4 linked regions of the Astyanax mexicanus genome follow. The protein of the gene in region 2 purifies or fractionates together with the protein of the main gene of each other region. This does not show direct contact. Links are inferred from orthologs where the notes say so. Each region holds a gene or a part of one and is shown on either strand. Other genes may lie near its edges. The genes, in order: vamp3, stx6, vti1b and stx7l.

Evidence for each region.
Region 1: the proteins of stx6 (region 2) and vamp3 purify together in Homo sapiens (affinity purification with mass spectrometry; 5 studies listed by BioGRID and IntAct, counting the BioPlex papers as one, with this or other methods). This does not show direct contact. The link is inferred for Astyanax mexicanus from reciprocal best matches to the Homo sapiens genes STX6 and VAMP3.
Region 3: the proteins of stx6 (region 2) and vti1b purify together in Homo sapiens (affinity purification with mass spectrometry; 3 studies listed by BioGRID and IntAct, counting the BioPlex papers as one, with this or other methods). This does not show direct contact. The link is inferred for Astyanax mexicanus from reciprocal best matches to the Homo sapiens genes STX6 and VTI1B.
Region 4: the proteins of stx6 (region 2) and stx7l purify together in Homo sapiens (affinity purification with mass spectrometry; 3 studies listed by BioGRID and IntAct, counting the BioPlex papers as one, with this or other methods). This does not show direct contact. The link is inferred for Astyanax mexicanus from reciprocal best matches to the Homo sapiens genes STX6 and STX7.

The regions. Positions count from the first base shown.
Region 1 is NC_064431.1:5,052,392-5,059,908, forward strand, and holds the start of vamp3 (vesicle-associated membrane protein 3), read right to left. Parts: upstream 3,020-7,517; 5' UTR 2,914-3,019; coding exon 2,912-2,913; intron 1-2,911. UniProt on the Homo sapiens protein: SNARE involved in vesicular transport from the late endosomes to the trans-Golgi network.
Region 2 is NC_064423.1:15,822,434-15,829,714, reverse strand, and holds the start of stx6 (syntaxin-6), read right to left. Parts: upstream 3,133-7,281; 5' UTR 2,955-3,132; coding exon 2,920-2,954; intron 610-2,919; coding exon 441-609; intron 343-440; coding exon 247-342; intron 81-246; coding exon 18-80; intron 1-17. Other genes in the region: ier5 (immediate early response gene 5 protein), read left to right, coding at 6,691-7,281. UniProt on the Homo sapiens protein: SNARE promoting movement of transport vesicles to target membranes. Targets endosomes to the trans-Golgi network, and may therefore function in retrograde trafficking.
Region 3 is NC_064414.1:8,056,584-8,064,815, reverse strand, and holds the start of vti1b (vesicle transport through interaction with t-SNAREs homolog 1B), read right to left. Parts: upstream 3,134-8,232; 5' UTR 2,964-3,133; coding exon 2,867-2,963; intron 931-2,866; coding exon 872-930; intron 1-871. Other genes in the region: rdh12 (retinol dehydrogenase 12), read left to right, coding at 5,075-5,145, 6,894-7,024, 7,132-7,287. UniProt on the Homo sapiens protein: V-SNARE that mediates vesicle transport pathways through interactions with t-SNAREs on the target membrane. These interactions are proposed to mediate aspects of the specificity of vesicle trafficking and to promote fusion of the lipid bilayers.
Region 4 is NC_064408.1:40,137,209-40,144,578, forward strand, and holds the start of stx7l (syntaxin-7), read right to left. Parts: upstream 3,197-7,370; 5' UTR 3,089-3,196; intron 197-3,088; 5' UTR 161-196; coding exon 88-160; intron 1-87. Other genes in the region: trace amine-associated receptor 13c-like, read right to left, coding at 6,533-7,370. UniProt on the Homo sapiens protein: May be involved in protein trafficking from the plasma membrane to the early endosome (EE) as well as in homotypic fusion of endocytic organelles. Mediates the endocytic trafficking from early endosomes to late endosomes and lysosomes.

The sequences.
Region 1 (7,517 bases), on a different chromosome or scaffold from region 2:
GAAGTGCATGGTTATCTTTTTACTCTAGAATTGTGGCTTTTTAGTAACAAAACTATGAGAGAAACGGGAGTACAGCATGCCTTTCTTTGGATTTGTTTGATTTTTTTTTTCCTCGGGGTCTAATGCACACAGCAGACAAACCTCACAGAACACTTAATATCTATAATATAGCTATTTTACCGCAGTACAGAAATTAGATCAATTTAAAATGTATCTATTAAACTATACAAACAAAGACACACAAACACAATCGCATTCAACTACTTTACGTAACACCCAAAGTTGACACAGATGTGCAAATACTCACACACATCTTCTCACAGCTAATTGCTACACAACATTTTGTGCAGATAAACATGAAACTTTTTGCCTAATGCCAGGCAGAAGTAAGAGGGCTAAACACTCAAATGTGAAGTAAAGTTAAAACCATTTTAATAACTTTCAGTCCTTTTGTTTGTAAACACAGTACTACAGTGATTTTCTGGCGCGTTGTCTATGTCTCTGACAAACTGTTCCCAAAAAAAAAAAAAAAAAACACACAATGCAAATTGTGAAAATGCAACATATTGTGAGGTTACATTCTGCATACTGTGCATGACCTACTCAGAACTGACCTGTTCTCGGGGTAAACTGCACTGTGCGAAAGAAAGCACATTTCTTTTAGGATTAGTAAAACAACAGCAGGAAAACAAATCACATGCTCTTTGTTTTAGCTACAGGTCCACTCAGACGACCCTAAAATAACTCAGAACACAAAACATTCACTGTGTGACTAGGTCAACAGTATTTACACAGGTCAACTGATCTTACTACTACTTTTATGACTGAATGTAATCAAATAATTGAAGAAAAGGCATGTAAGAGATCTGGGATTTAAAGGCTGATTTCAATGGCCAATTGTTTTTTAGCTTGAAGTTTACTGGTTAGACAGATAGATGGACAGACATCCACTAATAATGCGTTCTTGCCTTAGACATAACCACAGGTTTGCATGTCTGAATTACTAGACAAAACCATTGTCACCTGATGAAAGAAACAAGCAGAGCCATCTGTCAGACAGCTCATATCCGAACTAAATCTTACTGCTCTCACTTTCACTACCTGATTGCGTTTGTGTTTAACAGACTGTTTAGCAGTTTAACTGTCAAAGACACCAACATACACTCAAATTCTGTATAAAGAAAGAGAGAAATGGATCACAGTGAAACTTTTTATGAAATCTGGTGTTAAAAAATATATATATTGCAGTATATATAGTAGAACAAACAAAAATAGCACAATGCCTGTTTTATTTATGCCCTATTATTTATATTTCTAGACTTTCTACACTGAAAACATCCACACAATACAATGTGACACAAGTGAGACATGAATAGAAACCTACTACAAAAGTATTTTTATTTGTTGCCTCAGGGTAACACTGAGCACATACAGCTCTTATGTTTGATCAATTATACTAAAACATTGGGTCTTATCTTTAGTCCAGGAGACTCCTTTCTCTTCATGTTTTAATCGCTTTCCTGTTACAACACATCACATTTAAAAGTTTGATATATCAACAGGGGCTCCCAAGCTCCCAAAAATGGCTTGAATTATTATTATATTTTTTTCCCAAAAATAGAAATCATGTTAGGGAGGGTTAAGTACAAGGTATGGGCTTTCATATGCCTGTAAAAATAAACACCTTCTCAGTGCATTCGTGATCAAACATACAATGATCTACTTTCACATTTGAGTGTACTAAAGCATTAATACTTGTCTCAGATATTTAGGTACATGTACAGGTAAGTTTGGGATATGTTTTGTGTTGGGATTTTTGGATTCGCATTTATATAACTTAAATTTATGCATCGTAACAAAAAACTGCAGGATTGTTTTATTGAGATTTTTTAACTTAACGTCAATGAAGGGGTTGTCAATTCAAAAACACATAAAAAATAAAATAAAAATAGTCCCCAGACGTACAAACGAAAATCACTTTCTAGTGCACCTTATGGCCTAATCACACAAGGGAGTGTTTCATTTACTTTTGCTGGAGGATATAAGTTTGGGCTTGGTTCCTGTGTTCATTAAGACAGAAAAAAGAGAAAACCGTTGACACATCTCGTACTATGTGGCAATGATGGACAATTGCAGTTTCTAGCGGTTATTTAGCTATAGAATATCCAGAAAAAAACACAAAATATAGCAGAGAGTTTTCTCAACACTGTCCGCGGATTTAAAAACATCATCTCCTTCTCTATCCTTTAGTGATTAGGGGTTTTAATGTAATTATTAATAAATGACGATGTATCAGCAGTTTGGCGCTGTAAAACCACGAAAAATGTGTAAAACCACGGAAAAAAACTTCAATTTTTTGACGCTGGTCGCTAGTTTCTTGAAGTTAACTGACCTAGTTAGCTTAGCTTAGCTTAACGCAGCTAGCCTTTTAAGTAAAAGAGACCGGTAAAAGTTATGCTAAGCTAATTGGCTATCTAGCGCTAGCTAACCTAGCCCTTATATTAAGTTTATTAACTAGCTAACTAATAACAACTAGTCTGGGCGCTGGAACTGTATTTAACTGTAACTGATACTAAAGAAGCTTCTTTTTAGTTAAAGAAAATAAAAATAAACCTAATCAGGTACACAGACTGTTTAACTCAAAACCACGAAGCTTTTTTTAAAGTTACAGCCAAAGAAAACACTAAGATAAGTTATGCTAAGCTAGGCTTGGCTAGTTAGCTAGCTATTTGGCTAGCATGCTAACCTGTTGCTGAGGGAGGCCTGGGGAAGTTTGGGCGTTGTTTTGAGCGAGTATTAGCTGGAGTAGATAGCTAGCTAGTTATCAAACTTCCTAAATATGTATATAGCGAACATAAATATAATCTATCCGCTTAAAAGCGCCCACACATTCGCTATAAAACACACTTACATGGTTGTTGATGTGGTGTTCGGTAGAGGGCCGGCTGCTGTATAAACTCCGTAGTGATCAGTAGCTGCAGCTCTGTCTATCAGTCAGTCTGTGTGGACTACTGTCTCACAGCACACTAACTTAAAGGGCCAGCTCCACACTAAACTACTGACTCAGTTTATTTCCTACATTGTAAATGAATAGTGAAGTGATTTAGACTATGAAGAAACACATAATGAATCGTTTAGTTACTTAAAAGTGTTAAACAAACCAAAATATTCTGTGAAGAAGCATTTAGGTACTGTTAGCATCTAGGGAGCTAGTTAACTTGTATGGGGAGCTGTTTCTGAGGCTGGTAACTCTGAAAAACTTGTCCTGCACAACAGAGGAAACTTCTGCTCTTCTGTGGTACCACATTTCCAACAAACTATTTAGTAAAGTTGGAGGAATTCAGTTTCTATTAAGATGTGATTTTAAAGTTTTAAAAATCTCTGTAAAATTGTCAAATTTCCACAAACAGTCAATAAATAATACTGCAAAGATTATATTTACCTATAACTTTTCACTACATAACTATACTTTGAATAATAGGGCTGTTATTGCTAAAAGTGTGATATTTTTTGTTCTAGACCTATTGAATTCAGGTGGTCTATTTGTATTCTTCTAAGAATTTACTGAAAAGTATAAAATTGTAGTCTCCAGCAAGGGGTATGATAATTGCAATATCTATTTATCGTACAATAAATTAACATGACCTTAATAATTTTTGATAATCGTAATATCGTCTATTGTGTTTATTTGTATATTTGTTCACATATGTAACAGCGAACAGTATTTTAGCCAGTCATGCTTCAATAACTGTGGCTCGATACACACAGTGTGGACTAAAGTAGGTGAAGAAATAAGTATATTAATTCCCAAACTAATTATAATAATTGATTAATTCACATTTTGTTGTCTTTAAAAGGTTTTTAATTGCCTTCTTTATGCTATTCTGTTATTCTGTTATTACAATATATTGTCCACAAAAAAATCTTATCGTGACAGGCCTAGATATGATAAAATATGTAAAACAGAAAATAAGCTAGTTAGTACGGTTTTTAAACAATGTATTATTTGGTGACTTTAACTCATCCTATTCAAGGGGTAATATTGAGGTCTCTTTGAGAAGACAAGCTTTTTGTTTTCATTTATCATGTCAAGAAACCCACTATTAAAATGTAACAGCACAGTATACTGTGATAATGACCTTATAAAAGATTCAAAATTCAAAGTAGCCCCACACCTCACTGGTAGAATTGGTAGAAGCCCTGACATTAATAACTTTAAAAGTGGACAAGAAGCTCATTAAAAAACACTGTTTACAACCCGTAGCGTAGTCTAATCTCTGCCTTATTTTCTAATAAGCTTATTGTGCACTTTTAAAGTTATTAATGCCTCGTTTTAAATGTCAAGGATCTCCGAATTCTGTCAATAAGTTGTGAAGCTACTTTAAGCCTGGATTATAGTGTAAAAAGCGATTTATCTGCAGGGGCAAGTGGATGCCCTGAAGCGTCCATTGTAAAGAGTGCTGGGAAAAAAGCACAAAATTACTGCATCTCGGAAAGCTGCGGGAGAACAGAGGTGGGCTATTTAACAAAGGTTAGTACTCTTTATCATGTTTTACTACACCTAAAGTCAATTTTACACCAGAGTTTTTTTTTTATATCAGTATTATATTTAACTACATATAATCTATAGTCTTAATAAGTATTAGTAAAAAGTGAAAAATACGTGCAAATATTTTATTTTATTTTACATATTTGAGGTTGGGTGTTATTCTTGTAAAATTAATAGAAATTGTACTTTTATTGAGTTAAAAAAATCAACAAATAAAGCTCTTTTAGTCAAGCCTGCTATAGCCCCTCCGAACCTGAGGGTGGCAGTAGAAGGCGGCAGGTACATAGTACAGCGCCCTCTACACTGTTCTCTCAGTAGAGGTGGGCGATACCGGGAATTTTGGTATCGATCCGATACCAAGTAAACGCAGGGCCAGTATTGCCGATATCGATACTGATACCGATACTTTTTAATATTTAAGCTTTATAGATCCAAATGATCCAAAAACCTCGGATAAAATTTCACCAAACATTAGTGATAACAAAATACTTTAGTATCACAATCAACATTTTTTTTAGAAACAATGGAACAGTAACAAAACAAAGTTTAAATATAAAATAAAAAAATATAAAAAAATAAAATAAAAATTCTCCCCTCACTAGACATCTTTTCTAGTTCTTTGTTTCTTTGTTTCTTTTTTTAATAGAATTGTCATTTGGAAAGGAATTGTCTTCCATTCAGTGCAATTCAAATGCAAGTTTTTCTTAAATAAACAGAGTGTAAAAAAATATCACTCAACACAAATCTCCTGAGGTAGAGGCGTGTGGACTCGAGGAGAGCGCTGAGTGGGCGGGGCCAGGCTGAGCCTACCTGCCTGGCGGTTTGGCTGGCTTTGCTGAGCCATGTGATGCATGTGCAACAACAAGAGACCAGAGAGTAGACTGTGGTGAATCTCGTGCACAGCAGTCAGTGCGTGCGGCAGAGAAAAAAGCTTGAATATCGATATTTTTACACGAGTATTGCTCAATACCAATACCAGCGTTGGTATCGATATTATCGATATTTGGATCGATCCGCCCACCTCTATCTCTCAGAACTACAGAGAACTGAGTCTCCTCTGGAGCTGTCTCTTCATTTCTCTCCTGTTTTACAGGTTTGTAGAGGTTAAAATAAATGAATAACTCTATAAAAGTACACAATAGCAATTTCACAGCAGACTCTGACAAGTTATGTACACAAAAAAGGTTGATTTTTGGAAAATGTGGGACTGTTTTGTGTGAGTGTGTGGGTTTGGCCTTGGGCAGCTAGCTAGAGCTAGCTAATCCTGTTCAGTGGGTGAGCTAGCTAAACTCTTAATACGTTTCCCCCAGTGAATTGACAAAGTTTTGTGTTAAAACTGTCATGTTTGGGGAACACTAAATTGTTGAATTGTTTGGAGTATTATGTTGCTGTTTTATTTTTTAATATACAGCCTAGAGTATATTGGTTTTGCTTGAATGTATATGTAAAGGTTTAGTATTAAGAGTTACATTCTCCAAGCATAGTTTCCTTACCAGCGTATAGCTACAAGTAACTTACTCATACTGAGATATTATATACAGCTCTGACACCACTTCAGTGATTTTGCTATTTATAGGTTTATGTTTGAGTGAAATAAACGTTGTTGTTTTATTCTATAAACTACAGACAACATTTCTCCCAAATTTAGAGCATTTATTCGCAGGAAAAAGAGAAATGGCTGAAATAACAAAAAGATGCAGAGCTTTCAGACCTTAAATGCAAAAGAAAAAAAAAAACACAAAAAAACAACAAGTTTGTATTTATAAAGTTTTAAGAGTTCAGAAATCAATATTTGGTGTAATAACCCTGGTTTTTAATCACAGTTTTTATGCATCTTGGCATGTTCTCCTCCACCAGTCTTACACACTGCTTTTGGATAACTTTATGCCTTTACTCCTGGTGCAAAAAATTTAAGCAGTTTTGCTTTGTTTGATGGTTTGTGATCATCCATCTTCCTCTTGATTATATTCCAGAGGTTTTCAATTTGGTAAAATTAAAGAAACTCACCATTTTTTAGTGATCTTTTCTTTTTTTATTTTAGTATTTTAATTCAAAATGTCAAACTCAAATATTATATAGATGTATTACACACAGAGTGATCTATTTTAAGTGTTTATTTCTTTTACTGTTGATAATTGTGGCTAACAGCTTAATGAAATCCTCATCTCTATTTAAAAGTTGTCAGCAAAGGGAAGCATGAAGTGCTGTAAGATTTTACATTTTTTGGTGTTGGTCCACTGTGTTATATCAAGTCCAAAATCATGCAGTGTATACCAGGAGATTTTGCAGCACTTCATGCTTCTCTCTGCTGACAACTTTTATGAAGATGTGGATTTCAATTTCCAGCTGGACCTGGCACAATGCGCCGAAAGCATGCTTTATGGTCATACATAATATTCTAATTTTGTGAGACACTGATTGGATTTTCATTAGCTGTAATCCATAATTATCAACAATAAAATAAATAAATGCTTAAAAAGATCACTCTGTGTGTAATACATCTATATAATAAATGAGTTCCACATTTTAAACTGAGTTACTGAAATAAAGTAAGTAATTTTTTTTAGATGCCCTAGTGTATTTATACTAATGTACAGGCTAATGGAGGTTGTAATCTACTTAATTAAAAAAAGACACTAAACATATGTGAATTTTGTTTATTTTCTAGCTCTATGAATGTGTAAATATTTTTTAGATAAAATACATTGTATATGCAATGAATGAAAGAAAGACAGATATTTAGTGCAAAAAGATTATATTTTAATGAATCAGAGGTTTTACAGAAAAATGTATGACCACAGGTACAGTACCTGTTACACTTAACTTTACAGGTTAGATACAGAGAAAAGTTTGGCCAATTTATTTAATACTCTCCTAAAAGATAAAAAGAGATTTGTGTTTGTCACAGGAACATGCATGGTGTGCTGACACCTTACATATGTTATAGTTTAATTCCTGAAGAAGCAGC
Region 2 (7,281 bases):
TAACTTGACATACATACCTGTCTGCTTTTCTTGTCTGTTATGGTGACAGCCATTGGGCTAGCCATGTGGTCTTTCATCTCCTACAAAAAAAGAAAAACATGATTAACATTGTTAATAACATTATATTATTCATATTGACAAATGATCAATGTAGTTGATAATATGACAATTTTAACTAAATCAGAGATATGCATACAGGTAATAATCACCATGAAAAACTTTTTAAAGAACCCAAAGTAAACTCACCCTGACAGTCTGTCTTGTGCTGGTGATGAAAGCTTTCCTTTTACTCAACTCTACCGCATCAAGATTGAACTTTCTTGGATTTGCTTCTACAATACTTGAAATTACTGTTAAGGCTTTGTTTAAAGTAGTATTAGGAGCATGAATAACAACAAATAAAAACATTGTTTTGATCTGAGAAGCATGATAAGGATATTAATAGTCTCATCCAAGTCTTCCAGGTCCCATTCTATAGACCTCAGGCTGTTCCTCAACTCATTGGTGGTCCAGTCTACCTCCTCCTTGGAGGCACCACCAGGATCCTGAAGAAGCTCACTCCATCTCTGGTGTAGACCTTGTGCAGTGTTCACAGCCTTCTGGACCTCTCTAAGCAAAGGGACATATTATTCCAGGTCAACATGAGGAATATTCAGAATAGTGAGAGTTACTGAGGTGGCTGTGAATGCTTGGCTTGTTAAAGCACATATCTAGCTGGCCAACTTAGGAAAATAACTTTATCCTAGATGTATTCTGAATAGCAATTTATGCATAGGCCTGTCACAATAATTACATTATTTGCTTGTCATACAATAGTAACTCAGTATTGACCACTGTGGATTCCTCAGCAAGAAGAGCATTACTATTAGTTTTATTTCTTTTGTTTGGGCAGAATGTTGACGTGGTGGGTAGCGCGGTCACCTACATTAAGACGACCTGGATTTAAATCCCAGCTGGAGCAACCAGGATCTTTCTGTGAAGAGAGTCCTGGTTACTTCCTACAGTCCAAAGACCACCGTTCAGGTAAACTGGAGATGTTTGAAATTGCCCCTAGGAATCACTGTTTTTACACTATTAACAAGGGTAAAAAAAAATTATTGGTAGAATTCCGAGGACCCTGACACTTTGAAAGTGCCCATCAGTCGACTTTTTAATGGCTTAATTTCAAGATGGCGGTGCCGAGAGTACTACCTAAAGGTTTTTTAAATAAACTATCTGCACTTTTAAAGTTTTCAGTGGCTCGTTTTAAATGTTAGGGTTCTCAGAATTCTACCAATGAAGTGTGGAGCTACTTTGAGCTCGATAATGGTGTAAAAGTAGCTAATTTCTTTGCATGAGCAACACTATGCTCCCATCTCTAACATTGTAAGCCTGTTTGGAGAACTGGCAAAAAGCAGTGTATTTTGGAACTCCGGGTAAACAAAGGTGGCCTATTTGCCAAAAGTTTGTACTTGTCATTATGTTTCACTACAACCCAAGTACATTTCACAACATTAAATAATGGGCATAAAATGTCTTGATCACAAAAGTATTATCGCAATCAATTGTGGGACAATATTGCTAAGTTTTTTTGTGACAGGGCTATTTATGCATAAATGTGGACATAATGCTGATACAAAGTATAGATACTATCGGGGTAATCTAAAACATGGGGTCTTACAAAAAATACGAAAAATAATTCTGTAATTGTTGGAGTGACTATTTCTACTAGATTTTATAGCAGTACTGTAAACATTAGTTTGCATTCAGCAACAAGAGCATTAGCTGGTGGCCCTGACTCTTCCACCAAAGAATTACATAAAACACTATCAATCCAGAGAACACAGTTCCACTGCACAATGCTGAAGTCTTTATACCCCTCTAGACCATACATGGTGCCTAATATTATCATGTTTATCACCTCCAGAATCCTATTATAGTGGCAAAACATTTCTACCCAATCTTCTACCAGTCTTCTACTGAGCATCAGCAGAAACCAATTCAGTCAGAACTTTTTGCTTATGTAAATAATTCAGCCTTGCGGTTTAGCCAAGATCCCTTATTTTTAATAACAGTGTAAACAATAAGACATTCAGTACTGATTTAACTAAGCTATTAGTTAAAAAACATGAATATTGTTACACCTCTTCCTTTAACCAACCTTTTCCTAGGTGCTTTATAACCCTTTGTCTGTGTTGTGCGTTATAGAGCAAACTCTGGACTAAAAACTTATTTGTTGATAAATGTGAAATAAGTATAATAAAGTATTGGGGAATTTAATATGAATTGGGGTTCTGTAGTGTTTGTGTATTAGCATTAGCCGGTTAAAAACAATGTCTGTCACTGGCAAAACACCATATTTCTGCGACAGTTTAATACAGCTTTGGATATTATGTTAGCTAACTAGCGTTAACTATGTTTTAACGCTGTAAGATACTGTAAAAATCTTATACACGTTAATAGTGTACATTTAAAGTACCTGCAAACACTTGGACATGTAACGTTAATGTATGTTACCTAAAGCCTGTTTGTATAGAGTTCTTAATAAAAAATGAATTAGCTATTATCCTATTACTATACAAAATTTAAACCAATCCAAAAAGCTAACGCTAGTTAGTAATGAATGCAGGCAGATAGCAGCTAGACTAACTAGCGTTAGCCTAATAGCAACCTAGTTTAAAGCATCATAACAAAGCAGTTAAGCTAGTTAGTTAGCGGACTAGCTAAGCTAACTAACGTGTGTAAAGAAAAATAATTTAGTACGGTACAAACATTTTCCTTCAAAGACACACTCCGGTAACTATATTAAATCTGTAATAAATCTGAGAAGACTGTAAAACAGAACTTCAGCATGGTCCATTGTTGTTAAGGCTGGGTCGTGTTAACATTAGCGTTAGCGTTAGCTAGCTCCGCTCTCTGAGAAAAGCTAACTCTACTCACCCTTTCACAACGAAAAACGGGTCTTCCATCGACATGGTGCTGCTCACAGTAAATGGCTCCTCTGGTATAAAGTCATGCTCCAGACCCCGGCGGCTGTGCCCGTGTCTGTGGCCGCTGTGAGAGCGCTGAGGGTTTAAGGTTTGTTTATGTGCGGGACTGAGCTGCGCCCTCCGCCATCACTCCCTCTACTCAATCCGGGGCAGAGGTCAGCAGAGCTGTGAAATCTGAAAAAACCATTGAAAATTAATTATGTTTTAATAAAGTAAAGTGCAAATAATATGTATTTATTTATAGAATGTTTGCATGTCTGTCTGTCTGTCTATCTGTAGTGGTATGAAAAAGTTTGGGCACCCCAGATAATTTTCATGATATTCCTTAATAAATCACTGGTTGTTCGGATCAGCAGTTCAGTTAAATATCATAAAGCAGACAAACACAGTGATATTTGAGAAGTAAAATGAAGTTTATAATATTTACAGAAAGTGTGCAATAATTATTTAACCAAAATTAGGTAAGTGCATAAAATTTGGCACCCATGTCATTTTATTGATCAGAATAAATAATTCAGTGCACTTTGCCCAAGGAGAGGCTGTATAGTAGAGTAATGCAAGATAAAGCCTTTTCTGCACACAGGCCACAAACAGAGTAGCTTGAGGTATGTTAAAGCACATTTGGACAAACCAGTTTCCTTTTGGAATAAGGTGCTGTAGACTGATGAAACTAAAATTGAATTATTTGGAGGGCAGTATGCATGGCGGAAAAAGAACAAAGCATTCCCAATCAAACACTTGCTGTCTACAGTAAAAAATTCCCAGGGCTGGATACTTCAATGAGAACACGTCCCTAAACTCTTCTCAATATTTACTAAGGTATTCATGCAGAGGAACACGTACAACATTCTGGAATGATCATCTCAGACAAGAATATTATGGAAAATCTGTGGTGTGATATAAAGTGGGCTGTCCATGCTCGGAAACCATCAAACCTGACTGAACTGGAGATGTTTTGTAAAGAAGAATGGTTCAAAACACCTTCAGCCAGGAGCCAGACTCTTTTATTGGAAGCTATTGAAAGTGTTCAGAGTGTTCATTTCTGCAAAAGAAGGATCTATTAAATATTGATGTACTTTTCTGTTGGGGGTGCAAAATTTATGCACCTACCTAATATTGTTTTAAAGAATTAATGCACACTTTCTGTAAATCCTATAAACTTAATTTTGCTTCTTAAATATCACTGTGTTCATCTGCTCTATGATATATTTAACTGAAATTGCTGATCTGAACAACCAATGACATATAAAGGAAAACATATATGTATATATCTATATGTCAGTACTTTTTGCCTAATCATTCCTGTGTTTAAAACAAGTCAGGACATGAATGTAGACCCATAACAGGCCCATTCACAGTCACACCGGTCCTGATGGTCACTGTTACCACCTCTGTCCGAATGCACTGCTGACTGCAGCACTTAAAATGCTTTAAATATTCATGAGGCTCATTCATTAGCTGGGATACCTACACCACAGTATCCCGGTAACATACACCACCGTGTCTCCTGTCTACGTGCAGTTAATTAAAAGGTCAGATCAAAATACACTTACAAAAAAAACTAACCATTTTGGTCTAAGCGTCTGTGAATAGATGTTCAACACGTATATTAAGTGTAGCTAATGATACACATGACTTAACAACACATCACTTCAGTTCATTTTCAATATAATGCCAGTGATATACAGTTGTGGTCAGTACAATAATAATTATCTTAACCTCACAGAAATGTAGCTGTAGTGTAGCAGTGATGACCCAACCTGGACAAACTGGGTGAATAACAGGGTATTTTTTTAGTCAATTGGCTTTACCAAATTCCCTAAATTTATCAATCGGCTTTAGCAAACTGCCAAAACTGATCAACTACTTTACCAAACTGCCAACACTGATCAATCAGCTTTACCAAACTGCCCAAACTCATTAAACAGATTACTAAACTCATCACACATATTTACCAAACTATCAAAACTCATCAAATGGCTTTGACAAACTGCTCAAACTCATCAATCAGTTTTACCAAACTGCTTAAATTGATCAATGGGCTTCAACAAACTGCCAACACTGGATAATCAGTTTTACCGAATTGCAAAAACTGATCAATTGGTCTTAACAAAATGCCAAAACTGATCAACCGACTTTACCAAACAGCCTAAACTAGTAAATCTGCTTTACCAAATTAAACCAGCTTTGTTGAATTGGTCAGGCTGAAAAACCAGTCCATTAACATTATGAAAAATACACTTATAATTGGCCAGAGCTGAGCTGATTAACCAGGGTATGTTTTCACCTGAATCACCAGCTTATTTTATTCGCCTTGACCAGTACATACCAGTCCAGACTATCTGAAATCAGCTGGGCTGTGTTTTTTAGCAGGGTTCTCACACTCTCCTCCACACACACTGTAAACACAAAACGTGTTACGTCACTCCCTGCTTTTCCCCGCGCGGTGTTTTGCGGGTTGTGACCTATATCGAGCACACAGTGGGAAAGATAACCTGGAATTGTTTACCAGAGGACCGCTGCGTATTTAAATGTATTAAGCCTTCGCGAGGCGTTCAGCTATTTCAGTCTGGTGTCACATTGGGCTTTAGCTGGGTCCTGAAACAAAACACCGCCTCCCCTCCCCCTCACTAACGGCTCCCATTCACATTTGCTCAGACACCGCAGAGGATTTGCACAATAGGACCACGTGACCCGCCTGTAGGAGACACAAACCATTACATCAGTCCAGGATGTTGGCTGAAAGCAAGGAGAGTTAAAGGGGACACGGCCATTTTTATTTAACAGCGGTCAAAAACAAGACATTGCACGCCTTAAAATAGCACAGTCTGTGAGATTTTACAAAGTGAGTTGTATTTTAAAAAGAAAACCACCATTTCACCGTTTTAGCTATATTTATGTTTGTAAGCATGATTTTAGACTCGTATCAGTCGTTTTATAAATGATAATACAGATCCTCAGTGTTTATAGCCACCATCAGAAGATAATTACAGTCTAAGAGCCCAAAAATACTGCTGTTAATTTTACACGTAATTTTTTTAGTTATTTAATTTTTCATTGATGTTTTTAGTAATAATTCGGTTGCTCAGCCTAAAAACATTTCGGTCTCTTTAAATTTTTCTCCCACGTTAGTATTTAAATATGACTAATCTGCATCCCGCGTTCCGATTGGTCCGCAGTGGTTTCGCGGGGCGTGGTTGACAGCGTCGGTGGCGTTCAGCGCGCGATGTGATTGGTCAGCGTAGCCGTTACGTCCGGGTATAAAAGCGGTCTAAATATAGAAACGGTCTCATTCCTCTCTAGGCTGTTGTTGGGTGAGAGAGACCGTACGGAAGGTAATGCAGGCTTATAGTATAACCCAATAACATAGAATTATCAGTATTACGTTCTTTAACCACAGAAATGTGGCGGTTGGTTTTATTTATCGTATCAAGTTGATAAAACGAGTAGAGAACCATATTTTTTCCTAAATTAGAGGAATTGTAAGGCTTCTTTTATTTTAAAATAGGTTTTATTTTCATTTAAAAACTACTTGAAGACCAAGTGAGTGTTTCTAAAGCTTGTTGGACCATTTCTTTTGACGTTTTTGGATGGACAATGTTTCAATGAGACTCACACTTGAAGGAGAACAAGCCTGCTGACAAGCCTTCTCTGACTGGAGCTGAACTTTGAAACTGCTTGTATTTATTTTGCTTCGAGTGTTCCTGAATCGAGCCTGACCATGGAGTATAAAGTGGAGGCCCATCGGATAATGAGTATCTCCCTGGGGAAAATTTACAACTCCCGGGTTCAACGAGGAGGCATCAAGCTCCACAAAAACCTCCTGGTGTCTCTGGTGCTCAGAAGTGCACGCCAAGTGTATCTGAGTGATTACTACAGTGGGGTTTGCCTCAACACCCAGCATGTTGAGGCCAAGGAGTGGGAGCTGATGGATTCCAACCAGGAGAAGCCACTCACTCCAGCCCCTGAGGAATCTCTGTCCCCATCAACTGACTGCAACCAGAATCCTGTGGTTCCAGAGGATCCTGAGGTTCAGCACACCAGCCAGGCTGTGGAAGACTCCACAGATCTCCACAGCGTCTACTCCAAACATCAGGCCGAAGAGGAGTCTTCCTCAGAGGATTCTACTACTGATGTTTCTCTCACATCTTCTCCTGTGACCTGTGAATCTCAATGTGAAGCTAAAGGAGCTGAAGTGAGTTCTTCGGACTGTGAGGCGGATGCTAACCCCGCCACGGTCACAGAAGGGAATTCACAGCAACCACCGAAAGCTCACTCTTGTTCAAACAGGAAGCGCACTGCTGAGAAGACA
Region 3 (8,232 bases), on a different chromosome or scaffold from region 2:
TCAAGAGGAAAAAGCTTGAGTTGATACTTTAACTTCTACAGATGTATTTTAAACCCTAGTCTCTACATTTCTACCTACAAAGTAATGAATATAATTACTTTTGAAACCTTTGATGGTGTGATACTCCTGCACTACAAGTTGCATATCAAGTTCAGTGGCTTTTATTGTCATTCCATCTCAGTACAAGTACAGAGTGTCAAGAAATGATGTTTCTCCAGGACCATGACACAAATTAGAACAAACAGTATGAGACAAGACAGCATAAAGCGCACATGTGTAAATATGGGTGTGCCTTATCGTATCATAAGCATTCATTTCAGCAAAAATTCTGACACAAGAAAAAATTCAATAGCGTGATAATAGTAATGTTCTTCAAAGCAGTCTATTTTGTATTTTTTTTTGCTATTTACTGTATTTACTGTTATTTATTCATTTTTTTGCACTTTATATGCTACACTTTAGTTTTGTGGTAAACTGTTGTTGTTGCATTTCTTTCCTTTTTGTTACACTACTATTTTATACAAAATCAGGGTCTTGGTAAGTTACTGATTAAAAAAATCACAAACATTTTTTTTTGTTTCTACTGCATGTATGAAATTCTTATATTTATACTAAATAAACTTTGATACTTGGGTTGAATACAGTGTTAAAGCAGCAAACAGGTACAGACGGGGCGCATTAATACTATTTGTGAAACACTGGGCAGGTTTTACCAAAAATTTAGATTTACAGACATATTATGTAGTCTATATCATCATATAGGAGTCATTAAGTCATTGGTAATTCTGACATAACATAAATGACAACTGCCAGATTCACATTATGTCAAAAGTCAAAAACAGCTGCAAATGCTGTAAAATTAGTTACTCACCACTTCCTCTGCCTCCCCAAGACGTTCATCAAACACTCTCACTAACTTCTTCTTCTCTTCTAAAGAACAGAAAAGAAACACAAACATAATTTGTATTACAGTAACTGCACATAATATATTTCATACATAGTCATTATTGTATATTAGAACATAGATCATTTAAAGTATCTTTCAAACGTGAGTACAACCCTCACATTTTTGCAAAGTTTTATTATAGCTTAAGTTATACCTAAAGATAAACACTGATACAATGTAAAGTAGTTAGTGTACAGCTTGTATATCTGTGTACATTTGCTGTGCTCTGAAAATAACTCAACACACAGCTATTAATGTCTAAACCACTGGCGACCAAAGTGAGTACACTCTTAAGTCAAAATGGAATTGTTAGTGTAACAAGGTCTCAGGTGTGAATTTTTGGTGGTTTTGCTCTCACACATTCTCAAAGTGGCCACTGGATATTTAACATGGCACTTTACGGGAAAGAACTCTCTGAGGATCTGAAAAAAAGAACATAAAGATGGACTAGGCCAGTGTTTCTCAACCAGGGTGCCGCGGCACCCTGGGGTGCCGTCTGGCTTCATCGGGGGTGCCGTCAAAATATTGCGCCTCACGTGCATATTTCCTTTCCAGAGTCAGCTCGTGTCGGGGTGTGTCCCAATTCACAGGCAGCATACTATGAAGGATGCGACCCACAGAGGCGGTGGATTACTGCGCAGCTGTGACGCAATCTGTCTTCGAATACAGCCTCTGAAGGATGCAGCCCCTAAATTGGGAAACACTGTAAAGTTTTTGTCCCCCACGCGATGCACGCGCTATTTTATGTCAAATTCCGCCAGCAACACCCCTCGTTCTCACCTGAAGTACTGCGCCAGCACATCACCCCAGTTCTCACCTGAAGTACTGCGCCAGCACCCCCCCCCCCCCCCTTAAACTGGGGTGCCTTGACATCTCGCATATATTTAAAGGGTGTCGTGATATAAAAAAGGTTGAGAAACACTGGACTAGGCTACATGAAGATAGCCAAAGCCCTAAAATTGAGCTGCAGTATGCTTGCCAGTGATATCCAGGCATTTAACAGTACAGCCTACACTCAGGACAGTCCACGCCAAAGTCAAACAAAAAAGCTAAGATTTCCATTGGTTTCCAGTGGTTGTCAATGGTTTCCAGTGGTTATTAGAAGGTAGCGTCTTCTAAAGATGAGCATTGTGGTGGGAGTGTCATTGGTTTTGGGCTATATAAGGTGCTGCTAGCTGTAAGGAGTGACAGTCCTTCGGAAACTGGGACGCAGGACAGTATCCTCCGCAGGACACCTCCAAGACAATTCTGACTTGCTAATAAAACTGAATATAAAGGTGATGGACTGGCCCAGCGTAGGTTCAATATAGGATACAATTTTAAAGCTTTGCAATTATGATGCCAATTGAACTTTAAACCCTTTCTAATAAATATTCGGGTTGAAAAATACATTGCAAGAACGTTTTCCTGAATGAATACAAGTTACACTATAAACACTCAAATTATTCATTAAATCAATTCCAAAAAAACACTAGGAAAAGCAATGGCCTACTGTACGTGGATTTGTTTGGGATATTATAGTTAAATTGTACAGGCTGAAAGATGACCCCTGCTAGACCCCAGGCAAAATGTTTCCACACAACAACTCTCAAGGGTCATTCACCATTGGAGATTTATTTCAATATATTTAATTATTTTCTAACAAAACATTAAAGGCTTTTCAGTCATAATACTTTATCAAACTGCCTCTAGTTCATAGTCAGTATAAGTAGAAAGCCCCGAGATATGCAATTGCAGGCAGAGGATGGCAAAAACAGGCTTGAAACCTATCTATCTACAGGTTCTGATTGTTGTATTTCAGTGAATATATAGTTAAAGCTGGGTGTTGCTTACTGACCTGTGAACTGTGTAAGTTAGTTAGCTAAATATATAATTTTGGTGATTAATAAATGGAATAGCTGGTGTAAATAGTATAAATACCGCCGTGGCTCCGCAGCACTCGTTCAGGAATCAGTTTCACTTCATCGTATAAAGATTTATACATTTCATGAAGTTTCTCAAACTCCTCCGACGACATTTTGCCCCTTTCTTCACTGCAGCCGAGAGGCCTTAATATTTTACACTTAAATAAAGATAATCAGCCGCTCTAAACCATATATAACGCTATATAAATCAGTTTACACCACCGGTAACTCCCAGCTCTCTCTGCTTCACAATAATAAACACAGCGAATCAACTCCGCTTCCTCATCCCACCGCGTGACTATAGGAGCCCTGAGAACATGCCTGCATAATAAAACTCCGCAGTGCGGACTGATCGGCCTGTGGGGACGAGCTGTAAAACACTGCAGATATTATATTACATTTCTAAACAAAGTAATAATAATAATCTAAAGTTTGCACTGAAATTTGTAACGACATTTTCTGCGGCGACTCTCAGCGTCCTTAACAAAGCAGCGCATTGTGGTCTATGTAGTTCAATCAAAGAGTCTAAAATGAATTGGTTCAAATGGAGCTAAATCGGAGAATAACGGTGTTTTTCAAATTTTATACTGTAACATGTACTTTTCTCATACATTTTCTTAACACATAACCATATCATATGATTTTTAAAACGTTTAAATTCAAGTTATAAGCCTTTCAAGCCTCCAGCATCGGCTTACCAAAAGGTCAATCAGTTGTAGTGTAGCATTATCCAGACCTGAGTTCTAGAGACCCAGGCTTGAGAAAGTGCTCTATAAAAAAAAAGTGACTTGAGTAGAGCACAAGTGGAAGTAATAAAAAACATTTTTTGTACCTAAGTATTGCAAGTAGTTTATTGTAAAATGTAGTACTGAAGTACTAAAAGTAAAATTCATTCCCTGAGGACTTACTCCCGTGCTCTCTCTAGCGGCTGAAATAGGAAGTGGGCAAATTCAACATAGGCTTAGGTTCAATGTTTCAAAGAAATGTATAATTATGAACATATTATAAACATATTTTAAACGTACTGTTTAAAAAAAACAATCAAATTAATATTTTTCAGATTCGGCAACTTGTTTCATTGATTTGATAAATAATTAATTTAATTTATTAAATTATCTCCTCAATTTAGTAAATAATTATCTTCATTTAGTCCCCACAGGTTAACTACAGATTTTTCTTTAATGAGGGACCAGTTTATTAAATTGAGGAACAGAAATTTGTTTATTAAAGTGAGGGAATTGTTTAATAAATTAAGGAAGCAGTTTATTAAATTCAGGGACTGCACTGTCAAAAGGTTTAAGGAAATTTCTCATCACCAAGCTGATCTTATACTGATCTTTCACTAGTGTACAGCTTGTAAAATAACTCAACACACAGCTATTAATGTCTAAACCACTGGCAACCAAAGTGAGCTGCTGCTGTCTGTAATAATTACATAGTAACACATAGTAACACAGTACTGTACTTTTACCTACTGTACTTGAGTACTATGCTTTTGAATACTTTATGATTTTCAGTTAAGAGAGGTGCTTAAAGAATACTTTACACACTACAACTCCAGTTAGTTTTTTGTTAGAATACAGAAAAATAAAGTAAAAAGTATATATATATATATATACATATACATACTTCGTTACCTGGGTTATCTATACTTTACTAGAGTAATATTTTTTTTAGATAACTTTCAGATGACTATTTTTTCAGAGAATATTCTACTCCTTTCATTACACCTTGTTTTTATTACGGATTTCTATCATTAAAAAAAACTATCCAGATAAATCTATCCATCTAGATAGAGTAGGGTTGCACTATAGGGCCATGTGTCCCAAGGTTTTGTCCTTAATGGCATTTTTTCCCCTTTACATGACCTTTACTTTTACACTTTAAGTATTTTTAAAAGCAGTATTTTTACACTTTTACTTAAAGAGTAAAAAGCTTGAGTTGATACTTCAACTTCTACAGAAGTATTTTAAATCCTACTATGTATAATACCTGAGTAACTCTTTGAAACTGATTAAAAAACTACAGTCCCCATCTACAAAAACTACAATCCCATGATTCCCAGCTGTTTTCTGTGTAGGGCGCTAGAGAAAGTGGGAGTTACCAAATCTAAACAGCCCCACGGATTCGCATCAGCAGTCACACGACTGCAGAGAGGCTTGTTTTTGAGGATTTCTGAATTCTCCTTGTTTTTTTTTTATTGAGTTTTTATTTGTAAAGGATCATGCTCGCTGTCGTGGTGGCAGGTTTCGGATTCGTAGCTATAGTGTTGAGACTGCTGTCCTCCCACATCAGGTAGGCACATCGCTGCGTGTGCTGAGCTTTCTCTGTATTTTAAAGCAGGATTTAAGCGCAATATATTTATATACATATTTACGCTTAATAGAAATGTATAATCCAGCGAGAATGTGCTCTAAATTGTGCTCTAATTGTAAACAGTGTGAAGCTCAGGCTCGCTGACAGGGGCCTTAGTCGGGTATATTAGATAGTAAGCATATAGCTGTGTGTTGTAATTTAGCTAATATACATCTTTTTATGTTTTTTATAAATGTATATCTCATTATACTGGTTGAGAGAGCTGGTTTTGTTCAGTTGAATGGTGCACGACCACTATAGTAACCGCCTCCGCTGAATATGATCAGTTTAGGAAGGCGGCCAATAAGATCTTCCTGGGGGCGGGGCTAATTATGCATGCACAGTGTAGGCGAAGGCTGATTGGGTGCAGAGGACTGCGTATGGTAATTATGTGTGGGTCGTACCACCTGGAGGCATGTGGGGGTGTTCAGAGGAGGTGGGCAGAGAAGGCTATAATGATGCTCTGGATAAAATATTGTATATAAAATAGTGTTTTAATAAAGTAATGACGACTTTATTACGAGACCTTAGTGAAACGTCTTAGTACATTTATTGCCACAAGTACTGAGGTTGGTTTGGCTCTATTCTTCTCATGTTAGTATAAAATTAATTGCCAAGACTGAAATTAAACAAAAAAATATTACAAGAGCTAATATAACAGAATCCTGAATTACTATTAAATGAACATGTGTAATCTTTAAACTTTGTTAAAAAAAGGAATATCATAGAAAAGATACTTAATTTCAGTAATTCAGTTAAAATGTGAAACACATTATATAGATGGATTACACACAGAGTTGTTGATGATTTTGGCTTACAGCCAATGAAAACCCAAAAATCAGTGTCTCAGAAAATTAGAATATTGTATCAGACAAATTGATACTTATGACAGTATGGGCAGTGTGCCAATTCCTGCTGAAAAATGAAATCTGCAGCTTGGACTGTGTGTCTCTCCACTCTTCCTCCAGACTCTGCTCCCTTGATTTACAAATGAAATGCAAAATTTACTGATGATCAGTGATGGTTTGGAGGGTCATGTCATCTGCTGGTGTTGATCCACTGTGTTTTATTATCAAGTCCAAAGTCAGTGCAGTGTTTTCCCACGAAATCTTACAGCACTTCATGCTTTCTTCTGCTGACAACTTTTATTGAGATGTGGATTTCATTCTCCAGCAGGACACTGCCAAAAACACTAGTTGGTCTTTTGTATTATTCTTATTTTCTGAAATACTGACTTTTGGGTTTTGATTGGCTGTAAGCCATAATCATCAACAATAAAACAAGGCTTAATAAAGATCACTCTGTGTTTAATACATCTATATAATATACGAGTTTTACATTTTGAACTGAATTAATGAAATAAAGTAACTTTTCAATGATATTTTTTTTTTTTTAAATGCACTAGTACATATATCACAATTTATCTGGCTTCCTATAATAGTACAGCCTATATTTGTAGTCCAGTAAAAATCTGCAATGCATGTGGTGTTTTCAATCAATCTACTGTAAAAATAGTACATAAATATTGTACAGTCAGGTTAATCCAGTATGAATCTGCAATGTCTTGTAGTAAAAAAGTAGTAGTTATGTAGTGAGGTTAATCCAACATGAGTCTGTAGTGTATGTATAGTGTATAATTTGACAGTAAAAACTATGTACTTCTACACACTTACAAAAAAAAACTAAAGGTTTGTTTGCAGGAAATACGCAGCAGGCGGAGTGTGTCTCTCCACAGCACGTTTGGATGGGAAAACTGCACTGATTACAGGAGCGAACAGCGGGATTGGGAAGGAGACGGCAGTGGACCTGGCCTTGCGGGGTGAGGGAGCACCCCAGCCAAACACTTCACTGTAGAAAAAAACAAAGATATAAAGAGGAGCATTGGAGAATAAAGTGTAGATGTAAAGTGTGTGTGTTATTGTGCAGGTGCACGGGTGATCCTGGCCTGTCGGGATATGGAGAAAGGTGAGGACACGGCCGCAGAGATCCGCAGGCGGGTGGGTGGGGCTAAGGTGGAGGTTCGGGAGTTGGACCTGGCTGATACCCGCTCCATCCGAGTCTTTGCACAGAGATTCCTCAGAGGTAAATTCACACACACCAATTTGTACATCACCAGTGACTGATAAAAGAAACAGGTTTCATCACAAGTTAAAATGTTTGGAACCCTTCTCCCTCAATACCTAGTGCAGTCGATTTTAGCTGTTAGCTGTTGTATCAGAATTTGCATTGTTATTGTTCTCCTCCAAACTTGTTAAGATTAAGTGGTGCAGCATTAAAGGGGAATTCCGGTGTAAAATGGACTTTGGGTGTAATGAAACATGATGATGAATACAAACCTTTGTACGAATGTTCACCCCCAGCATCCTGAAATACAGCGATTTTACTGCTAGCAGTAGTTATCATGCTTCACTACACCCCAAGTCCATTCACACTGGATTTCTCCTTTAAGGGCAGTTCGAAAAGTTGAGGTGTTTCTTCATAATTAGGAGGGTGAAGCATGTTTAGCTTGTAGCATTTTTTAATAAGGAGAATCTTAACTAGTTAGAGGGAATTAGCAAATTTAAGAGAAATTTATTAGCCCAAAGTGACTTTTCTACACAGTCATAACGATCAACTACAGTTGGTAACAGACAATGACTGCAAAGAACATGGACACTGTGCCATGTGGTCAAATTTGCAACCCAAGTCAGCCCAGTAGAGATCACTGATAGAACATTTTAAAAACTGAAGATGGAAAGACAGTTTAGAGGAGAAAAAGTGTGTGAAATAGTGCAGTGTAAAAACACTTTTCTAGATGGTTCAGACTTTCAGACCAGTTACAGAAAGTTGTGGCAGTCTTTGAACAAACCAGAGGAAAAAAGAACTGGTGTTGTGCCAAAATCCAACTCCCCTTGATGTACAGACGCATCACGCAGCAGTATGAACACAAACGCTTAGACTTGGAATGAATTAATTTACTGTAGATTAACTCATTCTGCCATGGGGTGCATGTGTACATGAAGGACAGTCAGATTCTGATAGAGAGCT
Region 4 (7,370 bases), on a different chromosome or scaffold from region 2:
CCATTTCAATTATTATTACATACTAGAAACTGCATTAAAAAATAACTAGTAGTTCACAGTCAGCGCTAATCAATCTATTCCACTCACTCTGCTGTGTGATACTCTGGATGTTTGCGCCGATTGTCTGAGCAAGTAGATTCGGGTCTTTGAATCCAGACATGGTGAAGATTAAACCAGCCTTTCAGTTCCTCCAACTCTAGAATTTGGTAGAGGATACATAAGTAACAACACATTAAGAAGCTCACAAGCCACAACTGACAAATACTTGTATTTTTCACAGCAAGAGGAACAAAAAAAGACAAGATCACGGCATGATTTTTCAGTATATGTATATGTTTTCTGTTTAGTCTACTAGAAACTTTTCTCAGCACTTTTATTTTAGTCCCTCATGTTTAGTTCCCAGTTCCTTTTTGACTTTAGTTTCATTCGATTTTGTTTATTCAGCAACTGGACTGCTCTACACAAAATAAATACTGAAATTGAAAAACAATACATTTTACTGCTTACATTTTTCTTTAAACATTTAAAGTACTAAGTGTGACATGATACTGATAAAGCCTATGTTATTGTGTGTTATACCAAATAGGGGTGGGAATCACAGGGCAGATCCCAATATGGTATCACGTTACGTTGCCCATGGTATCGATAATATCATAATACTGTGACTCAATATAATGCAAGACAATTCTGTACAATAGAGGATGAAGAGAATAAAATACAAATATCAGGAATGATGGATCAGTTTTACAGAATTTTACAAACAATATTATTTGTCACAGGTATACCCTTTTTATTTGATTAGCGCCCCCACCTAAAAAAACAGTGACTTTTGTAAGTCAAATTGAGGGCCGAGTCTTCTTAGAGCCCCTATGTTTCAATAAAATATAAGAAAAATAATGATAATTGACGCCACATCAGCATATGTTACAGTCAAAGCGATATGATAATGTATTGTCCCACCACTTGTACCAAACAGTTCCACACATGAATCAACACATCATGTAACACCAAAGAAAGTATATACTTTATTGATTTATAGTTGTCTATATAACATTGTCAATATAACATAACTACATTATAGTTTATATTGTGGATGTCATCAATTCTTTTAAAGTGTGCCAACACATGCTTTTATTTATTTCATCTGCAATGTTTGCCACTATTGTGATACATCAAATATTGTGAAATTGTCTTGACATATCATATGGCATTTATGCCACATTTCCTACCTTAAAAAAACAATACTTCACTGTCTTGCTGTTGACGGAAAAGGGATACCTGATAGCATAAATAATACACAATCCATTAAATTGCCATCCGTAATTTACATACAGGTCTGGAAAAAAACGCGAGACCACTTAAAAATTATGAGTTTCTTTGATTTTACCAAATTGAAAACCTCTTGAATATAAACAAGAGGAAGATGATCACAGTCATCAAACCAAGCTGAACTGCTTGAATTTTTGCCCTAGTAGTGGCATAAAATAATCCAAAAGCAGTGTGTAAGACTGGTGGAGGAGAACATGCCAAGATGCATGAAAACTGTGATTAAAAACCTGGGTTATTCCACCAAATATTGATTTCTAAACCCCTAAAACTTTATGAATATAAACTTGTTTTCTTTGCATTATTTGTGGTAAGAAAGCTCTGCATCTTTTTTTTTGCAATTTCAGTCATTTCTTTTTTTTTTTTTTTTTTAAATAAATGCACTAAATGACAATTGGTAGAAATATTGTCCGTAGTTTATGGAATAAAACAACAATGTTCATTTTACTTGTACCTATAAATAGCAAAATTGGAGAAACTAATTTAGAAACTAAAGTGGTCTTTTAATTTTTTTCCAGAGCTGCATTTGTTCATATTATTTTAGTAGTTGTGCTGCTTCATGATTGATCTCTTTTGATAGCTACTCACAGTAAATGAAACTACCGACAACTACCTCCCCCTGAGGATGGACCTGCAGACAAGAGGGTCCTTCCTATAAGTAAATACAGAGCCAAAATATACCAATACTCTGTACTAAATAAAAAGTAAGTAGGTTATATACTTTTATTTAATTGCAGTTTCTCATAATTAATAAAGGGACACTCTTATGGAGTTCGTAAATCTCAATACTTTTTTGATGACCACTAATCCTTTTTATGCAGGTCTTTGACACACTTTAGTGTGTTTTAGTTTGAGCATGGTACAAGGTATAAAAAGTTTGATAAGCACCGGTTTAGAGTTTGTCCTTCTCCCAACTCATCTGTTAAAGGAGGAAAACACTACAATATAAAGAGCAGAATGTATCACATTATTTAAAATCACATGCATGTGTGTTTTAGTTTGATTATGGGTGGTACAAGGTGTTTTAGAGATTGTCCTGCTCCCAAAACATCTGTTCCAGCTACTCAGCAACTAACCAAGCTCCTCCTGACATGAACTTGGTGTGTAAAGGAGGAAAACACTATGATATGTACAGCAGAAGTTCTCCAGGCCACACTGCAGTCCTGTAGGAGAAGACTGAACCCGGGCCTGAGAGCTGTTTCTGACAGCTGTTCTTACTCTTGTCTCTAAAATACTTTTACTGGAGGATTTGGGAGATTGTACTTATGTCATTAGACAACCTGCTGAGCTTCACAGTCTCCTCTAAAACTCACCTGCTGAACTTAGACAACAGCAAAAATGCGGAAACTAACAAACACACCCAGAAGCAGCTGTCACCAGGTTCAGCTCTCAGACCAGCCTTACACATGTGTGTATATATACAGTATACATACACAGTATATATAGGCTTTATAGGATCTAAATATCAATGTAAGTTTCGCAGAAGTCCCTATAAAGACCGAAACTCACTTATTTAAGCTCTAAAGTCACAAAAAGAAACGAAACCACACTGGCAGCGAAAGTGTTCACGCACCAGAAACCTCCAGCGTCAGTTAACCTAGAGTTAGTTACTGACGCGACACCTAATATACAATACTCTGCACTATTTAACACATTTCCGGATATTTTCACACCACTGTACGTCTCTTAAAGCCGCTCCACATTAAACACAGTCAGTCTCCGGGTTTATCAGCTGTATTAAACGCGTCTTTTTTAGCTTTACCTCGGTTTCCTCGGCTTTGGTGAAAGTATTCTCCACAGCAGACTTCCTCACAGCTGAAGTCCAGCCTGTCACGTGAGAGTCTGTCGGGCGGTGATTGGAGGATTTCACGGTTGTTTTTCCGCACCCGTTTTCGGACAAGGCCCGCCCTCTCCTGCGCTGAGATTGAATAGAATTGTCACTTAAATTAATAAATTAAACTACTTTTTTGCAGTTTAGATATTTTTAAATGTCAAGACAAAATCTTCAACGATAAACTAAACACTAAAAACTAAAAAAGACACCAAGCCCAGTTATCATTGCTTATGTCAAAGGTTCTCAAACATTTTACAACCAACCTGTTTATAACCAAAGGTGTCAAGACAGTATTCAAATGAATGTGATTATTTACAATAATATGTTAATTCAGAAGCCCAGAAAGAAACTGGACAAAATTAACACCCTTTTAAAATGGCAAGAAACAACTGGATTATTGTCATACAGTGCTTCTGTAATTAGCATTTGTGGCACATAACAAATGCAATATACACTGATAAAAAAAAAGGTCACACACTCTTATATTTTGTTGGACTGCATTTAGCTTTGATCGCGGCACACATTTGCTGTGGCATTGTTTCTGTAATGTCTTAAGATTTATTTCAATCCAGTGTTGCATTATGTATATTTATTTATTATAAGTTTCTCATTGGAGCAAAGTTCTGGACTCTGGTGAACAATCCATGTGTGAAAATGATGATCTCATGTTCCCTGAACCGCTCTTTCACAATTCCAGCACCCTGAATCCATGCATTGTCATTTTTGAATATGCCCGTTTCATCAGGGAAGAAAAAATCCATTGATGGAATAATCTGGTCTATATTCTGTATGTTCAGGTAGTCAGCTGACCTCATTCTTTCAGCACATACTGTTGCTGAACCTAAACCTGACCAACTGCAGCAACCCCAGATCTTTTGCTTAGTTAAATCCAGGGGACGACTTGTAGAAAAAAGATCACATGTTCAGCCAGTTTTAAATAGAACAATTTTGAGTGCTTGTATTTTGTTTTAAGACATTATCTGCCCATGGCACTATACAAAAATATGTGGACAGTGAGACAATCTTTAGTAATTGGGCTCTGCATGCCACCACACTGTATTTGAAATGAAACAAATGAGATGCAACTGAAGTAGACTTTCAGGTTTGATTTAAGGTGTTGAACAAAAACATCCAATGAAGTGTTTAGGAATTAAAACTATTTTCTAAAATGACTGCCTGGATTTTGGAACCCATCAACATCCTATATGATGCTTTACCAGACTGCTACTGCAGCTGTTTTCAGTTGTTGTTTGCTTGTGGGTTTTGCCTTAAGCAAGTGAAAGGCACCTTGATCGGGTTGAGATCTGGTGACTGACTCGGCCACAGCAGAATATTCTACTTCTTCACCTCAAAAACTCCATGTTTTGGCTCCATCTGTACAGTTTAGCCCTGTTTAACTAACCTTTCTGCATTTGGTTGAATCTAAGCATAAAGTAAATCTCTGTACACTTCAGAATTCATCCTTTTGCTTCTGTCTTATCTTCAATAAACACTAGTGAACCAGTGCCACTGGAAGCCATGCATGCTCATACCACCACCATGTTTAAAGCGGCAGTGCGTATTATTTTGTTTCTAAACTAAAAGCAGAAGCATTTCTGAGTGAAGAAGGGATAAAATATTGTGTTTAAAGGTACCAGTGTGCTGGAACGACCATCCCAGCTTAGCCTAATATATTCATTCTAAAAACTAGGGTTTCGGGTCAATAGTATATATTATATGCAGAACCAGAGACTGCAGTTTTAGGACCGCAGTAGTTTCAGGACCGCAGTTCTAGAACCCTATGTTTTCGCGACACTGCCACCTAGCGAAATTAATGACTTACTACTCCTTAATATAATATCATCACTTTATCTAACAACTTACAGATTTGAAGTCTTATCTCACCCAAATATTACCAATTCAGCTAACTACTTTTTAATGTTTATTTCACCCAAATATCACTTTGTCTCAGAATTTGTCTTAGAACTCCCAACCACATATCAGAGACACAAGGATGTCTTTGGGCTCTATTATGTATTTGATATCTAAAATGGATTCAAACTACTTTTCGAAAGATTGAAATCTTTTTGGAACTTCAAGTTAATATATAATAATATCTAAGAAACTGGTCAGGCAAAACAAAAAAAGAGTGGTCCAAAATTCCAGTATAGAAGTGTTTCTGAAGCCTGTGGTATGAATATTTTGTACAGTTTCTTTCTGCAGTTCTGTGTGGAAAGATGCAACATTTTTCTTTTTGCTTTTTTGTGTTTTGGTTGTTTATCAGCGTAGGTGGTGCATTTTCTGTAAGAAGTGCAGAGATGGCAGAATTTTGGCCATTTCTGTAAATGTAAATGTGTGGCAGTAAATTGCACTGTCCTACAAGCCTGAAATGTGGTAAATACTTGACTTCACCTATTCAGAGTCCTGCCATCCCCACAACCCCACATTTTAATTAAACAAATTAATTTTTAATTTGATCACTAACACGAAATGCTTTTGCCCCAAATTATGGCACAATGTTTCCTTTATAAAACTGCAACCAGACAGTTTAATGATTAGGATGTACTGTTTAAAAAGAGAAAAAGCGGTGTGGTGAGAAATTTTACATTCTAAAGATATTGTTCATAGGTGATAAATAGAAGAGTCCACAGAGTTCAATTTAAGAGAAATAAAGTTTAAAGCTTCACCACAGAAAGTTATTTAAAGAAAGTTTTGAAATAGTTTACATAGTTATGAAATAAATCTTTGAAAATGTATTCAAGGTGAATGAATACATGACAGTGCATTGTGGGGCAAAATAGTCCCCAACAAAAACCTATTTGTTCAGATTTGCATTCTACCATTGTCATTACATAGATAAACATATAAGAGGTTCTTTGGTGTTTTTAGATGTTAAAATGTAAAAATGATGATTAATTAAAATGATTTATTTTGTTTTGTAGTCATTGTGACATTTGTTTCCCATAACCACCATTGTAAAAACATGAAATAGTATGTATAACATAAAAATCTAAAAATGAAAAAAAAATAATATATATATATATATATATATATATATATATATATGACAGTGTTCTCTACTGAAAACAACAAAACAGCTAGTTTGATAATCTGATCCTGAATCTGTTCACATTCCATAACACAAAAATCAAAAATAAAATATTTCACATTAACACATTTCATTTTCTTACATTTACTTAATGTAACACATTCTATGCATGTGCGCATCTAAATATGTAAGTCCAAATGCTATTGATCAGTGTTAAGCAGTTTAAAATGCAAATAAATGATGAAATGTGACATACATTTTATTTATTCATTATAATACAATATATTTTACTCTTTAGAAGAACTAAAGTACATAAATAACACAACCTGCTATGCTAAAGACATTTAAGCTAGAAAAATGTTTGTGTCAGAGGAATGAGGAGTAAATATTCTCAGTGTAACAATAAGATAGAGGGATTTCCTGAACCACGGGTAGAAGAGGCCATATATTATAGGATTTAAAGTTGAATTAAGGTAACCCAGCCAGACAAGCACTTCAAAGAGTACCGCAGGTGTGGAGAAGTTGATGTAAGGATCAACTATAGAGTTAACAAAAAAGGGCATCCAGCAAAGAATAAATGCACCTACTACAATGCCGAGGGTTTTTGCTGCTTTGTTCTCATGTTTCACACTTTGAGACACCGTATTCATGCTGGTCCCTTTCTTGCACTGCTTCTTGCCTTCAATTTTCGTCGCATGCTTTTTTGACACCAAAAATATTTTAGCATACAAACAACCCATGACCGAGCATGGCAAAAGGAATCCAATCAATGTATCCAAAGCCCCCCATAGTGCATTAAACAAAAGGTCACAACTTCCCACACAGAAAATTGACTCCATATACTCTTCCAGATTTGCTACGTTTGCTTTTGAATACATTAGACCATATGAATACACCGCAGCTGTAGTCCAACTCAGAGCTACCATTAACCATGCAGTGGGTATAGTTATTCTTGTGGGGTAGTGAAGAGGATGGCACACAGCCTGATAGCGGTCTGTCGCAATACAGACCAGGTGGAAGATAGATGCAGAGGTCAGAAGCATGTCAAAACTAGAGTGCAGTAAACAAAAGCCTTGTCCAAAGTACCAGCAGCCATCCACAGATCGGATCGTGCTGAAGGGCATGACAATCATGCCCACAAACAGGTCGGCCAAGGCTAGAGACATCACCAGAATGTTTGTG